Mus musculus: one gene and its partners. The protein of the gene in region 2 interacts with the protein of the main gene of each other region in a biochemical or structural test. Links are inferred from orthologs where the notes say so. Each region holds a gene or a part of one and is shown on either strand. Other genes may lie near its edges.

The links.
Region 1: the proteins of Ncl (region 2) and Adap1 form a complex in vitro, tested with the Homo sapiens proteins (2 studies listed by BioGRID). The link is inferred for Mus musculus from reciprocal best matches to the Homo sapiens genes NCL and ADAP1.
Region 3: the proteins of Ncl (region 2) and Top1 form a complex in vitro, tested with the Homo sapiens proteins (2 studies listed by BioGRID and IntAct). The link is inferred for Mus musculus from reciprocal best matches to the Homo sapiens genes NCL and TOP1.

What each region holds. Positions count from the first base shown.
Region 1 is NC_000071.6:139,304,903-139,308,522, reverse strand, and holds part of Adap1 (arf-GAP with dual PH domain-containing protein 1), read left to right. Parts: intron 1-650; coding exon 651-781; intron 782-3,620. UniProt on the Homo sapiens protein: GTPase-activating protein for the ADP ribosylation factor family. Binds phosphatidylinositol 3,4,5-trisphosphate (PtdInsP3) and inositol 1,3,4,5-tetrakisphosphate (InsP4). Regulates the incorporation of CD63 and CD9 into multivesicular bodies.
Region 2 is NC_000067.6:86,356,623-86,360,728, reverse strand, and holds the start of Ncl (nucleolin), read left to right. Parts: upstream 1-1,273; 5' UTR 1,274-1,505; coding exon 1,506-1,523; intron 1,524-1,713; exon of another isoform or gene 1,714-2,162; intron 2,163-2,505; coding exon 2,506-2,622; intron 2,623-3,276; coding exon 3,277-3,772; intron 3,773-3,987; coding exon 3,988-4,106. UniProt on the Homo sapiens protein: Nucleolin is the major nucleolar protein of growing eukaryotic cells. It is found associated with intranucleolar chromatin and pre-ribosomal particles. It induces chromatin decondensation by binding to histone H1.
Region 3 is NC_000068.7:160,644,353-160,648,696, forward strand, and holds the start of Top1 (DNA topoisomerase 1), read left to right. Parts: upstream 1-1,544; 5' UTR 1,545-1,877; coding exon 1,878-1,910; intron 1,911-2,255; coding exon 2,256-2,280; intron 2,281-4,344. UniProt on the Homo sapiens protein: Releases the supercoiling and torsional tension of DNA introduced during the DNA replication and transcription by transiently cleaving and rejoining one strand of the DNA duplex.

The DNA of each region.
Region 1 (3,620 bases), on a different chromosome or scaffold from region 2:
AAGTTCAGGGTATTCCTGGGTTACAGAATGAGTTCTAGTCCATCCTCAGTAGCTTACTGAGACTGTGTTTCAAAATAAAAGGTAAAGAGATCTGGTAGTGTGGTACAGTGGTAGAGCCCCTGCCTAGAATCCCCCAGTGAGGGGCTGGGGGCGTGGCTCAGTGGTAGAGCTCCTGCCTAGAATCCCCCAGGGAGGGGCTGGGGGCGTGGCTCAGTGGTTGAGCCCCTGCCTAGAATGCCCTAGTGCAGTGGTTCTCAACCTTCTTAATGATATGACCCTTTAATACAATTCCTCATATTGTGGTGACCCACCCAACTATAAAATTATTCACTACTGCTTCATAACTGTAATTTTGCTATGGCTATAAATAGTAAATATTTCATACATAGGATATCTGATATGTGACCCCAGTTCAACCCCTAAAGGGGTCATGGCCCACAGGTTGAGAACTGCTGCCCTGGTGAGTGGCTAGGCTTTGGCTCAGTGGTAGAGCTCTGGTCCAGTGTGCTCAAGCCCTCAGTTCTATCACCGCCACCCCCTGTCATGGCCCTCTATTGGATTCTATGTCCTACCTTCCTGACCTGACTTTCCTCATGGGCGTGCTCTGGACTCCTAGGTGAGCTTCCCTGACCTCTGCCCTTCCCTTCTAGATCCTGACTGGGCGTCCTACACCCTGGGTGTGTTCATCTGTTTGAGCTGCTCTGGGATCCACCGGAACATCCCCCAGGTCAGCAAGGTGAAGTCAGTCCGTCTGGATGCCTGGGATGAGGCCCAAGTTGAGGTATGAGTCAGGAGAGGGGCACTGGATGGAGAGAGGGGCATGGGTACCCTGTGTCCATATATGGGGATGACCCTAGCTCCTTCATCTCCAGGCAATGGGCCCCTTCAGGGTCTGGGCTGTCATAGGCTGTGGCATAGAGCACAAGCTTTAAGGAAACTTGGGCTGGCTGAAACTGACGGTTTCATGGCTGATCCTTTGAGGAGCCACGTGGTAACAAAAATCAAAGCATTTGTCCATCTATCCACCCACATTCTTCCATCTAGCTATCGACCCATCCATCCACCCACACTCTTCATCCATCTACCTACCTATCCATCCGTCCACACATCCATCCATCCATCCATCCATCCATCCATCCATCCATCCATCCATCCACCCACTCATCAGTTCATCTAGCCAACCAACCAGGCATCTGTCTATCCATCTTTTCATCCACCCATCCATCTGCCTACTCATCCACTCATCCATGTATCAATTTATCCTTACATTCAACTATCCCTCCATTCATCCTCCCACCCAGCTATATATATATATATATATATATATACATATATATATATATATACACACACATACATATATATATATATCCACCTATATATTCATCTACCCACCCATCCACTCATTCATCAGCTATGTATCCATCCATTCATGCATCTATAACTCCATACATTTACCCACCTGCCTTTCTATTCACCCCCATCCTTCCATGCATGCACCCATACCTACATACATCTATCTATTCACCTCACATGGGCACATACTGTGTGGCTGGCTTGGGGAGCTGAGCAAGGAATAGGCATTGCTGCCCTCTGGGAAGGCAGGGGTGGGAAATGGGTGTGAACACAGGCCCAGGACACAGGGTAGCTGCTGGGATGCTGTTAGTGTGGCAGAGTGTGTGGCCAGCATAGGACAGATCCCCATATAGAGTGTGAACAAACACTGACAGGTTGGGGAAGCATATTCCTAGCTGGGATGATGGGCTCTACTACTGAGCCACACCCCAGCCCCTCCCTGGGGATTCTAGGCAGGGGCTCTACCACTGAGCCACACCCCCAGCCCCTCACTGGGGGATTCTAGGCAGGGGCTCTACTACTGAACCATGCCCCAGCCCCTCCCTGGGGGATTCTAGGCAGGGGCTCTACCACTGAGCCACGCCCCCAGCCCCTCACTGGGGGATTCTAGGCAGGGGCTCTACTACTGAACCATGCCCCAGCCCCTCCCTGGGGAATTCTAGGCAGGGGCTCTACCACTGAGCCACACCCCAGCCCCTCCCTGGGGGATTCTAGGCAGGGGCTCTACCACTGAGCCACACCCCCAGCCCCTCCCTGGGGGATTCTAGGCAGGGGCTCTACCACTGAGCCACGCCCCCAACCTCTCACTGGGGAATTCTAGGCAGGGGCTCTACCACTGAGCCACGCCCCCAGCCCCTCCCTGGGGGATTCTAGGCAGTTAGACTTGGTAATCTTCCAAGTCACCCTCTTCACTGTCCTAGAGAAGAAGAGGGTCTCAATCTTTGTGTTAAGGGCAGACTGGCCTTGGTCCAGTGATTCCATGAGGCAGTACCAGCAGAGACACAATGATAAGATGCTGTTGTCTCTGGCCAGGCCTGACTCTGACTAGGAAAGGGAACGTCAGCCTAGGCCAGTTCCCAGGCTCTTGGAGGAGTCTGGGCTTGGACCACAGGCCCCCTCCCAGAGGATGGTACTCCTACTTTTCCAGCACTCTCTGCAGTCTTTCACATTTCAAGGCTTGTATACTGTTCTCAGTGTTCTTCAGTTGTTTGGTTGGGTTTCAGAGACAGGGTCTCATGTGCAGGCCAGCCTGGAACTTGTGATGTGTCCAAGGCTGACTTGGAACTCCTAATCCTCCTGTCTCTGGGGATAGTGAGTGTGTGTCACCATTCTTGACTTACTTTTTTCAAGATTTTTTTTGTCTAATATCTTTTAAAAAGTTTTTTTCTGTACTGGGAGGTGGTGGCGCACGCCTTTAATCCCAGCACTCGGGAGGCACAGACAGGAGGATCTCTGAGTTGGAAGCCAGCCTGGTCTACAGAATGATTTCCAGGACAGCCAGGGCTACACAGAGAAGCCCTATCTCTGAGTTCAGTCCCTGGGACCCACATGGTGGAGGAAGAAAACTGACTTCCAGGTCGACACTCACCTCTGTGTGTGAGCTGTAGCATGTGGGCACGGAAACACAGTAAACCAACAAACAAACATAAATAAAATTGAACGTGGTGGTGCACACCTTTGATTTCAGCGGAGGCAGGCAGATCTCTGAGTTCAAGGCCAGCCTTATTTACACAACAAGCTCCAGGCCAGCCAGGGCTACAGTATGGAGTCCCCGACTTTTAAAAAGTGAAATAGCCAGACATGGTGGTTCATGCCTTTAATCTCAGCACTCGGGAGGCAGAGGCAGGCAGATCTCTGTGGGTTTGAGGCCAGCCTGGCCTACAGAACAAGTCCAGGACAACCAAGGCTCTGTTGTCCAGAGAAACCCTGTCTCAAACACACACACACACACACACACACACACACACACACACACACACACACACACACACACTGAAATGACAGAATCTCACTCTGTAGCTGGCCTGGTACTTACAGTCTTCCTTTCTCAACCTTATGAGTACTTGGGATGACTGGCATCACTACCGAGCCTGCCTGCTATTTGGTGTGTTTTAATAATCTGCTACTGTTGTGCATGGGGGCACATTTGCCAGGCTCAGCGGAGGATTGACAGTGTGAGAGCCCCCCCTTCCCCTGGTTTTGGCTTCTCACCCCAGAGGCCGCCAGTGACCAGTGCTTTGTGCTTCCTTTGGAAAATGTCTGTC
Region 2 (4,106 bases):
TCCATAATATACAGTACAAGGTGTGACCGGTCTCGCTATAAAGACAATGCCCCCACACCACAACTCGGGTTCGCCATCTCCTGCCCTGACAAGAGCGCACTGGTGTGTAGCTGTGGCTGCCCTCCACCGCGTTGGGAAGGCCGTAGTAAGTAAGCATCACACAGTGACTATTTCTACTTATCTCCAAAGGCCCGAGTTCAGATAAAAAAACTTGGGGACTCAACACATCCCACTCGCATTAAAATCTCCCGAGGTTGAAGTCAGGTATGATGGCATATGACTTTAATCACAGCACTAGGGAGGCAGGGGGATCTCTGAGTTCAAGGCCAGCCTGGACTACAGCGTGAGTCCCAGGGCAGCCAGGAATACACAGAGAAAACCTGTCTCATAAAATAACATCTCCTAGGTCGGGCCAGGCGTGCCGATACAGGTCGAGGCTAACATGGTCTACATGTGTGCTCTAGGACAGTAAAGAATAAAGTCCTATCTCAACTCCGGACGAAAACTCCACAGGTCATTTCTAGTGGATGTTGTTAGCTGATGAAGGGCGCCTGTGTGCTATGCTTGGAACCAGTTGGTTGCAATCCATTTAAAGCAACGCCAGACAACTCTCTCGTTCCCCCCGCCATGGAGGGAACCTGTGAGCGTGGTCACAGGCGGGCCGAGTACTTCTCCCCACCACACCAGGAAGTCACCTCTCTGAACCTGGAGTTATACCTACCGCGAGAGGTCACCGACATTACATGGATCGCTTGTGCACTGCTCGTACACACACACACGCACAACTGCTTTTATTAGGAGCTCTCAGGAAAGCGGGGACTCGCATCATAGCCAAGAAGCCGTTCGCGACTCCGCGGAGAACAGGCCGAGGCCCGCTCATCAGCCCGAGGGAACCCTAGGCCTTCCGGCGTTCTTCAGCAGGACCACGCGGCGCGGGGGAAAGCACCGAGAAACGCCCAGACCACCTGAGCATCGCCGCCCATGCTGCCTCGGAACACCTGAGGGAATCCGGGCCACGCCGCCACCTACCCGCGCCTCACACACAAGCCGCGCCAAACTCGCCCGTCCCACTGCGCAGGCGTGGGGAGAGCCCGGCGCTCAGGAGCATTCAAAGGACCCGCACACTGACCAGTCAACGTCCGCCTGGGCCCAAACGAGTCCCGCCCTCAGGAGCAGACGTCAGGCCCCGCCCCTAAGAGCCCCGCCCTCGTCAAGCCTTAGGCCCGCCTCACGCTGCCCCGCGTTAAGGCTCGCGGTTGGCTCCGGGGACGGACGCGAGCTCTGGTTGGTGGAGCCGAAGTCACGAGGACCCCCTTCGTCGCCTTTCCAGAGGCGATTACTGGGCAGGCTCAGTCTTTTGCCTCAGACGCTAGCTGTAGCTGGCAGGCGGTTGTACGTGCTCCAGAGTCGTCGGTACCCGCTACTGCAGTCGCTTTCGTGTGGCTTCCGCTGAGCTCTTCCGAGCTGCTCGCTCTCCACACGCGCCGCCGCCGTAATCCGCCACCATGGTGAAGCTCGCAAAGGTAAGAGGCCTTGGCGCGCCGACGCGGACGACTAGGCCCCTGCTTTCGGAGGGACGCGCGCGCGCCCGCCCGTCCGTCGCGGAGGGGAGGAGGGCTTGCGCGCAATCCCGGGCGCGTTCGAGGGCGCCATGCTGGGGGGGAAAGTCTCGCGCGACTAGCGGGAGGTCTCGCGGTGCTTGCCCTCTGACTTAGGGGGATGAGAAGAGCGGAGGCAGGTTTCCGGGAGGGCGATATCGAGGGTTCGGATGTAGCGGGCGGGAGGGGACGGTGTGAGGAGAGATCGGAGGAGCTGAGAGCGGATAGGGGCACGGCGTGGGAAGAGAGGGCCAACCTTAGGCGGCGAGCGGTCCCGGGGCCCCGCCTCCCCGCGCACGTGCTCTGGTGCGCGGCCCGCCACGTGCTCTGCGGAGCCCCGCACGTGTCGCGCGACCCGGGGCAGTGGGGGAGTGTCTGTAGTACCCCGGAAAGGGGGACGGCAGCGTGGGGATGGATGGGTGGCCCGGCGATCTGCTGTCTCTGCCGGTGACCGGGATGGACACGTGGTGGACCCCTGAGGTGGCGGCGTGGTGACTCCACGTGGTGGGGCTGGAAGCGAGAGAAAGTGGGAAGCAGTTGGGTTACGTGGTGCTGCTTTAAGAGGTGATTTCGAGATACCCCCTTCCCCAGCAAATAACTTAAAGGGATCCCTTTAACTGGGTTTTTTTTTTTTTTTTTTTTTTTTTTTTGTGGAAGATGCCAGAAAATAGATGGCCACGACTAGGAGACTTTATAACCTGTGGCTGTTTCTTGGTGTAGAGTTCTGTCTGCTCAGTTATCTGTGAGAAGGAAAAAAAAATTATGCGCGGTTCGCAGAAAAAACTGCCAGGAGAATGCCATGCCTGGCCAAGAAGAAGTCTTTATGCTTGTGTCCTTTAGTAAGAAAAAGGTGGTGGCCAAAGGCAAAGTGACTGAAAATGCGTGCAATTTTTGTGTGCGTTTGTAGGCTGGCAAAACCCACGGTGAGGCCAAGAAAATGGCTCCTCCTCCAAAGGAGGTGGAAGAGGATAGTGAAGATGAAGAAATGTCAGAAGATGAAGATGACAGCAGTGGAGAAGAGGAGGTAAGAAGCTATTTGCAGCAATAAACCGGTGGAATTGAATGTCTGGAAGTCTTAGAAATACAGGATATGTAGTAAATGGTTGAATGGCAAGCCCCTTCCTCCCTCCCTCCCTCCCTCCCTCCCTCCCTCCCTCCCTCCCTTCCTTCCTTCCTTCCTTCCTTCCTTCCTTCCTTCTGCAAGACAGTCGGCAAAACAGGGGACAGAAACAGGCAGAATTTTGAGTTCCAGGCAAGCAGGGAGTAGTACATAGTGAAACCTTGTCTCAAGACCGTTGTTATGGTCATGCTCAATCAGATTTCTTAGAAAAGCTCAGGTGCTGAGTCCAGTTTTTTTTTTTTTAAAGTATTGAAAGCCATGTCTCCTTATTTCAGGGTTTAATGTTTATCTTTGTGTGTGCGCGCACCCATTAAGCATGCTTGGTACCCTCATACTAGAATGTACTTGGATCCCCTGGAACTGGAGTTAAAGCCACATGTGAATGTTACATGTTACAAGAGTAACACATGTGCTTAACTTTTGAGTCATCTCTCCAGTTCTTGGTTGTTTGTTTTTTTTTTTTTAAGCCTATCTAATGTCCATTTTCTTGTGCTCAAAGTTAGTCTCTTAATGTAGCATTGGGTATAAAGGAATGCTTATGATTTGTTTGCTTTCAAGGTTGTCATCCCTCAGAAAAAAGGCAAAAAGGCTACCACAACCCCAGCAAAGAAGGTGGTTGTTTCACAAACAAAAAAGGCTGCAGTTCCCACACCAGCTAAGAAAGCAGCTGTGACCCCAGGCAAAAAGGCAGTAGCCACACCAGCTAAGAAAAACATTACACCAGCCAAAGTCATTCCAACACCGGGTAAGAAGGGAGCTGCACAAGCAAAAGCGTTGGTACCAACTCCTGGTAAAAAGGGAGCTGCCACTCCAGCTAAGGGGGCTAAGAACGGTAAGAATGCCAAGAAGGAAGACAGTGATGAGGATGAAGATGAAGAGGATGAAGATGATAGCGATGAGGATGAAGATGATGAGGAAGAGGATGAGTTTGAGCCACCAATAGTAAAAGGAGTGAAGCCAGCAAAAGCAGCTCCTGCTGCTCCTGCCTCAGAGGATGAGGAAGATGATGAGGATGAAGATGATGAGGAAGATGATGATGAAGAGGAGGAAGATGGTGAGTTAGATCTTAGGATATTTAGGGTACTGCATGTACATTCCCTCACTGTTTCATTAGATTAAAAACTCATTTTGTGCTCTTAGTTCTTTCCATAACTTAATAGGTTTTCATTTGCTAAGTAGTTTTTGTTTTTTTTAAGTATTTGTAGCATTTATCTTGTCTGGATTGGTAGGTAGCAAATACATTTGCCTGATTTGCCATCTTTCTTCCAGACTCTGAGGAAGAAGTTATGGAGATCACAACAGCCAAAGGAAAGAAAACTCCTGCAAAAGTTGTTCCTATGAAAGCCAAGAGTGTGGCTGAGGAGGAGGATGATGAGGAAGAGGATGAA
Region 3 (4,344 bases), on a different chromosome or scaffold from region 2:
AAGGTCATGGAAGAATAGGAAAATTCTGCTTAGGAAAGCAGAATTGAAAAATAGGCCAGTTGACTTCCAAGTGTGGACTCTTAGCCACTGCATTGTTGTGTTTGCCTTTGTTGATTGGACTCTTCTGTCAGAGGACCTGTTGATTCCTGGGGGCTAAGTGCTGAACAAGATGGAGAGGTCCTAACCCTCACTGACCTCGAATTATATAAAGGAGACAGAAAAGAAGTCACTAGCTCCCATATGGGTAACTTAACAACTGTGATAACTGTTATAAAGGAGAGAGGCACATGGGTACAGCATGCGGAAAGGGGCGTGCAGCACTTCAAGCTTGGTTTTTCGGGACAGTTTCTCTAAGTAGCCCTGGTTGTCCTGGAACTCACTCTGTAGATCAGGCTGGCCTCGAACTCAGAAATCCGCCTGCCTCTGCCTCTCAACTGTTGGGATTAAAGGCGTATGCCACCACTGCCCAGCTGGCTTGAGTTTTGAAATATTCACAAGAATTAACCCTAAGTGTTTATCACTCAATGTTTATGAACATTTTCCGAATTTATTTATATGGGGGATTGAGCCAGACTGGAGATGAATTCAGCCTGGGATGTTCTTGCAAATCCAATTGCTAATGTCATTAATCCCTCAAGACAGTTTGATAGTGGTCGATGGTCCACACCCAGGACTGTGAGGAGTCAGGGCAGACCTTATAGTATGGTGTTCCCTAAATAAAGTTCTCTCAGGGTACAGTCCTGGTTAGAACCAGGATCCATTTACCTGGGGGTCCAATTCCCTTTGATTTGGAATATTAGCCCTCTCACATCAAACTAATTCCTGTCTCACAGTAGGCGCTTAATAAATGTTTATAAAAAGAACAAATGCAGTAGGGTACTTGTGACACAGGGCTACATGACTGTAAACTGGAGCTAAACCTGACTGAAAAATTAAAATAATTTTTAAAAATGGGTGTGAAGTGCTGGGCGGTGGTGGCGCACGCCTTCAATCCCAGCACGTGGGAGGCAGAGGCAGGAGGATTTCTGAGTTCGAGGCCAGCCTGGTCTACTGAGTGAGTTCCAGGACAGTCAGGGCTACACAGAGAAACCCTGTCTCGAACACCCCCCCCTACAAAAAAAAAGAATAAATAATAAATAAATGGATGTGAAGTATTCCAGAAGTCTGGACAAAGGCTGTGAGGAGACTCCAGCTAAATGCCTTACGGCTGCTGGTGAACTAAGATCGGGGCAGCCAAGGTACGTGCGGATCAAACTTGTCTGGCTCTAGAGATGCAGAAGCTGGAGACACGGTCCCTGGCCAGCTTAGCTGGGTCCCGCCGCGGCCTTTAAAGGCCTACCACGTGGCCGCCCGGGTGTCCAAGGTCCAGAGGCGGTGTCCACGCTGCGCCTGCGTGCTGCTAGAGCCGGTGTCCCGCCTCTGAGAACGCCAGTCCCGTAGCAAGGCAGAAAGCAGAGAGTGGGCGGAGTTAAGTCCGTATGCTAATAAAGGGGCGGAACTTGCGAGGCAAAACCGGCTCTGTCTCCCGGACCTCTAAGAGACCCGCCGCAACCCTCAGCCTCTTTCCACGAGCGCTGACGTCGACGACGACGTCCCATTTAAAAGCGGCCGCGCAGGCGCAGTGAGGGGAAATGCGAACTTAGGCTGTTACACAACTGCTGGGGTCTGTTCTCGCTGTCCGCCCGCCCGGCAGTCTGTCAGTCGCGTCGCTACCGCCGCTGCCTCCTCCACTGTCCCGGGAGTCTCGGGCCGGTGGCTGCTGTCGCCGTCTGTTCGTGCTTCTCAGGAGCTTCGTCCGCCCGTTCAGGCCGTCCCTGCCGTCCGCCTCTCTTCCCCCGCGCTGCCTCTGAGCCCGCAGCGTTCGCACGCCGGCCGACATGAGCGGGGACCATCTCCACAACGATTCCCAGGTGCGACCAGCCGGCCCCCGACTCGTCCCCAGCTGCTCGGGCCCGGGCCGGCTCCGGCCCCGGCCAGGGCCCCGGTCCCAGCCCCAGCCGGCCGCGCCGGGTTGACAGGCCCGAGTCTGCGATGAGGGGCGGCCGGTTGGAGTCGCTTGGATGGCCGGGTCCCGGGCGGAGCCGTCAAGTTGGAGTTTGGTGGGGGGATGGCAGCCCCGGGTAGGCCATTCGCGGGCCTCTGGGTTCCGGGGCGCCGGGTGGGCCCGAGCCCCGGCCCCCGGCCGCGCGCTCTCGTCCGCCGCCCCGGGGCTTCATGTGCCGGTTGTTTCATCTTCCCTCCTTTTCTTTCCTCAGATCGAAGCGGATTTCCGATTGAATGGTGAGTGTGCCCCCCGCCCCGCCCCAAGTGTCCCCACACGCCGCTGCCTGCCTCCCCCGCGCCGGGCCGGAGCCGGGCAGAGGACAGACATGGCGTCCCAGAGACTAAGTCCCGGCTCCTCGCTCACCGGCCCCATTGTTCCCATCGGGCCGCCTCTGGACCCCCTTTCCCGGGGTCTCAGCACCCCCAGATCACGGCCTTCTCCAGAGGGGGCACCGGAGACCCCGCGTCGACCGTCGCTGGGTCTCGGGCGGCCTTTCTCCGCCGGGATTCTTCCCGGGAAAGTCGCCTTGTCGACGGTCGGGACTTAGTCTCTGCGCCATTTTCTTTTTCTCTCTCCTCTCCTTTCTGTGCCTGTGTCTTTCTCTCCCTCCCTCAGCTCCTTCCTTGAGCTGTCCAGAAAGAGCTTTCTGCAGAGCAGAGCCATATAAATCACAGACCTCACCAAAGAAGGAAGGCTTAGGGACGGAATTATCTTTTATTTTTTCTTAATAGAACTTTATTTTGGAAGTTACTTGCTTTCTGCTTCATGTTTGCTTGCTTTCTTCTTCTTTTTTAATTTTTGTGATTCCAGAACGAAAGATTCCCTTAGGCAGCTAAGGGTTTTATGGGTTTTTTTTGTTTCTTTTGTTTTTTGTTTTTAGTCCTTTTATTTTTTAAATGGTGAGATGTTTATAATAGCAGTTACAGTTCTTGAAACTAAAGCCATCTTTTGTGGAGTTCTTTGTATTTTGGGATTGTTTTCCCAAGTTGTGCTGTTTGCAAAGATAACTCCCTTTAAAAAAGTTTTCAGGTTGTCTGTGTGTCATCTAGTGTGAGTGTTGGACTTGAGCATATATTCTTTAAAAAAAATTAAAAGTATTAGTGACCAGAACTTCCTATTGTGGCAAGGTAGAGTTTTTTGTTTTTTGGGTTATTTTTGAGACACAGTTTATTGTGCTTGTTCCGAAAGGTTGCTGAATTGCTCATTTAGACATGGTGTGCTGGCCTTTTCTTTGGGGTCATAGGGAGTTTTAAAAAAGATTTTATTTATTGAAGTAGAGTGGCCAGCCCTGACTCCTGTCTTCTTCCTCATTCTTCTCAGGGGCTGCTATTTTTTTCAGGAATTAAGAGTTAACTGGCTTTCCTCACATCCTTAGGCTCTTGAGCCCTTTCCAGTCATGTTTTCAAAATATTTCCACTAAAGTTACCCAGGGAAGAATGTTGGTGGGTGTCTCCCACCACCCCAGTAAGAAGCTCACATTTAATGGATTTTCCAGCAATTCCATTGTAGTATGCTGGAAATTCCCACAGATTCTTATGGGTCCGATTGTGTTCAGTTAGTTTGGGTTCTGGGGAACTGAGTGGGAGAAGCCATTGAGTAGGTTTTCTGGTGCAGCAGTCCATGGTACTGGCCTGCCCAACTGAAAGCCTTATGTTTATATTTCCAAGTTGGTCATCCAAAGAGAGATGACACTGAGTTAGAGACTCTGTCTAGGTAAAGCTTTTCTTGAGCACCTAATATATGCCAGGTACTGTGCTAGAATTGAACCTGTCACCAACCACATCTGTCTTTGTTCAACTCAGCCTATTGGGGGAGTCACATCAGTTAATTACAAGGTAGGCGTTGGAGTGTATGTGTACCCAAAATGCTTTGGGAGCATAAAGGGCTTAATTTTATCTGGGGGTGGGGAAATTTCTTGGAGGTGACTGAGCAGGGTGTTGTATAAGACTAGGTACTGAGAATTGTCAGGGGTTGGATTATTTCTTGGGAGTCCATCCTATCAGGCTTTTAAACGAGGGAGATGAGACTGTCAAGCATATAGATAAGCTTCTTTGGAAAGGGGGTAAAGAAAGGATGTGGTAGTTGTGGATGTAAAATGGTTTTGAGCTCTCTGAAGGAAGGTAGGAATTTAATATAGAAAATTTATTTGCTTTTTAGTTGGGCCTAGTATGTAATATATTTAGCAATGAAACAAAATTGAGTCCTTTTTCCTCTTAAGTTTAACTTCCATTGTTCCCATCTAAATACAAAAGAGCTATTGAATCTATGCATGATTATGGGCTGGGTATGTTATCTTTGCA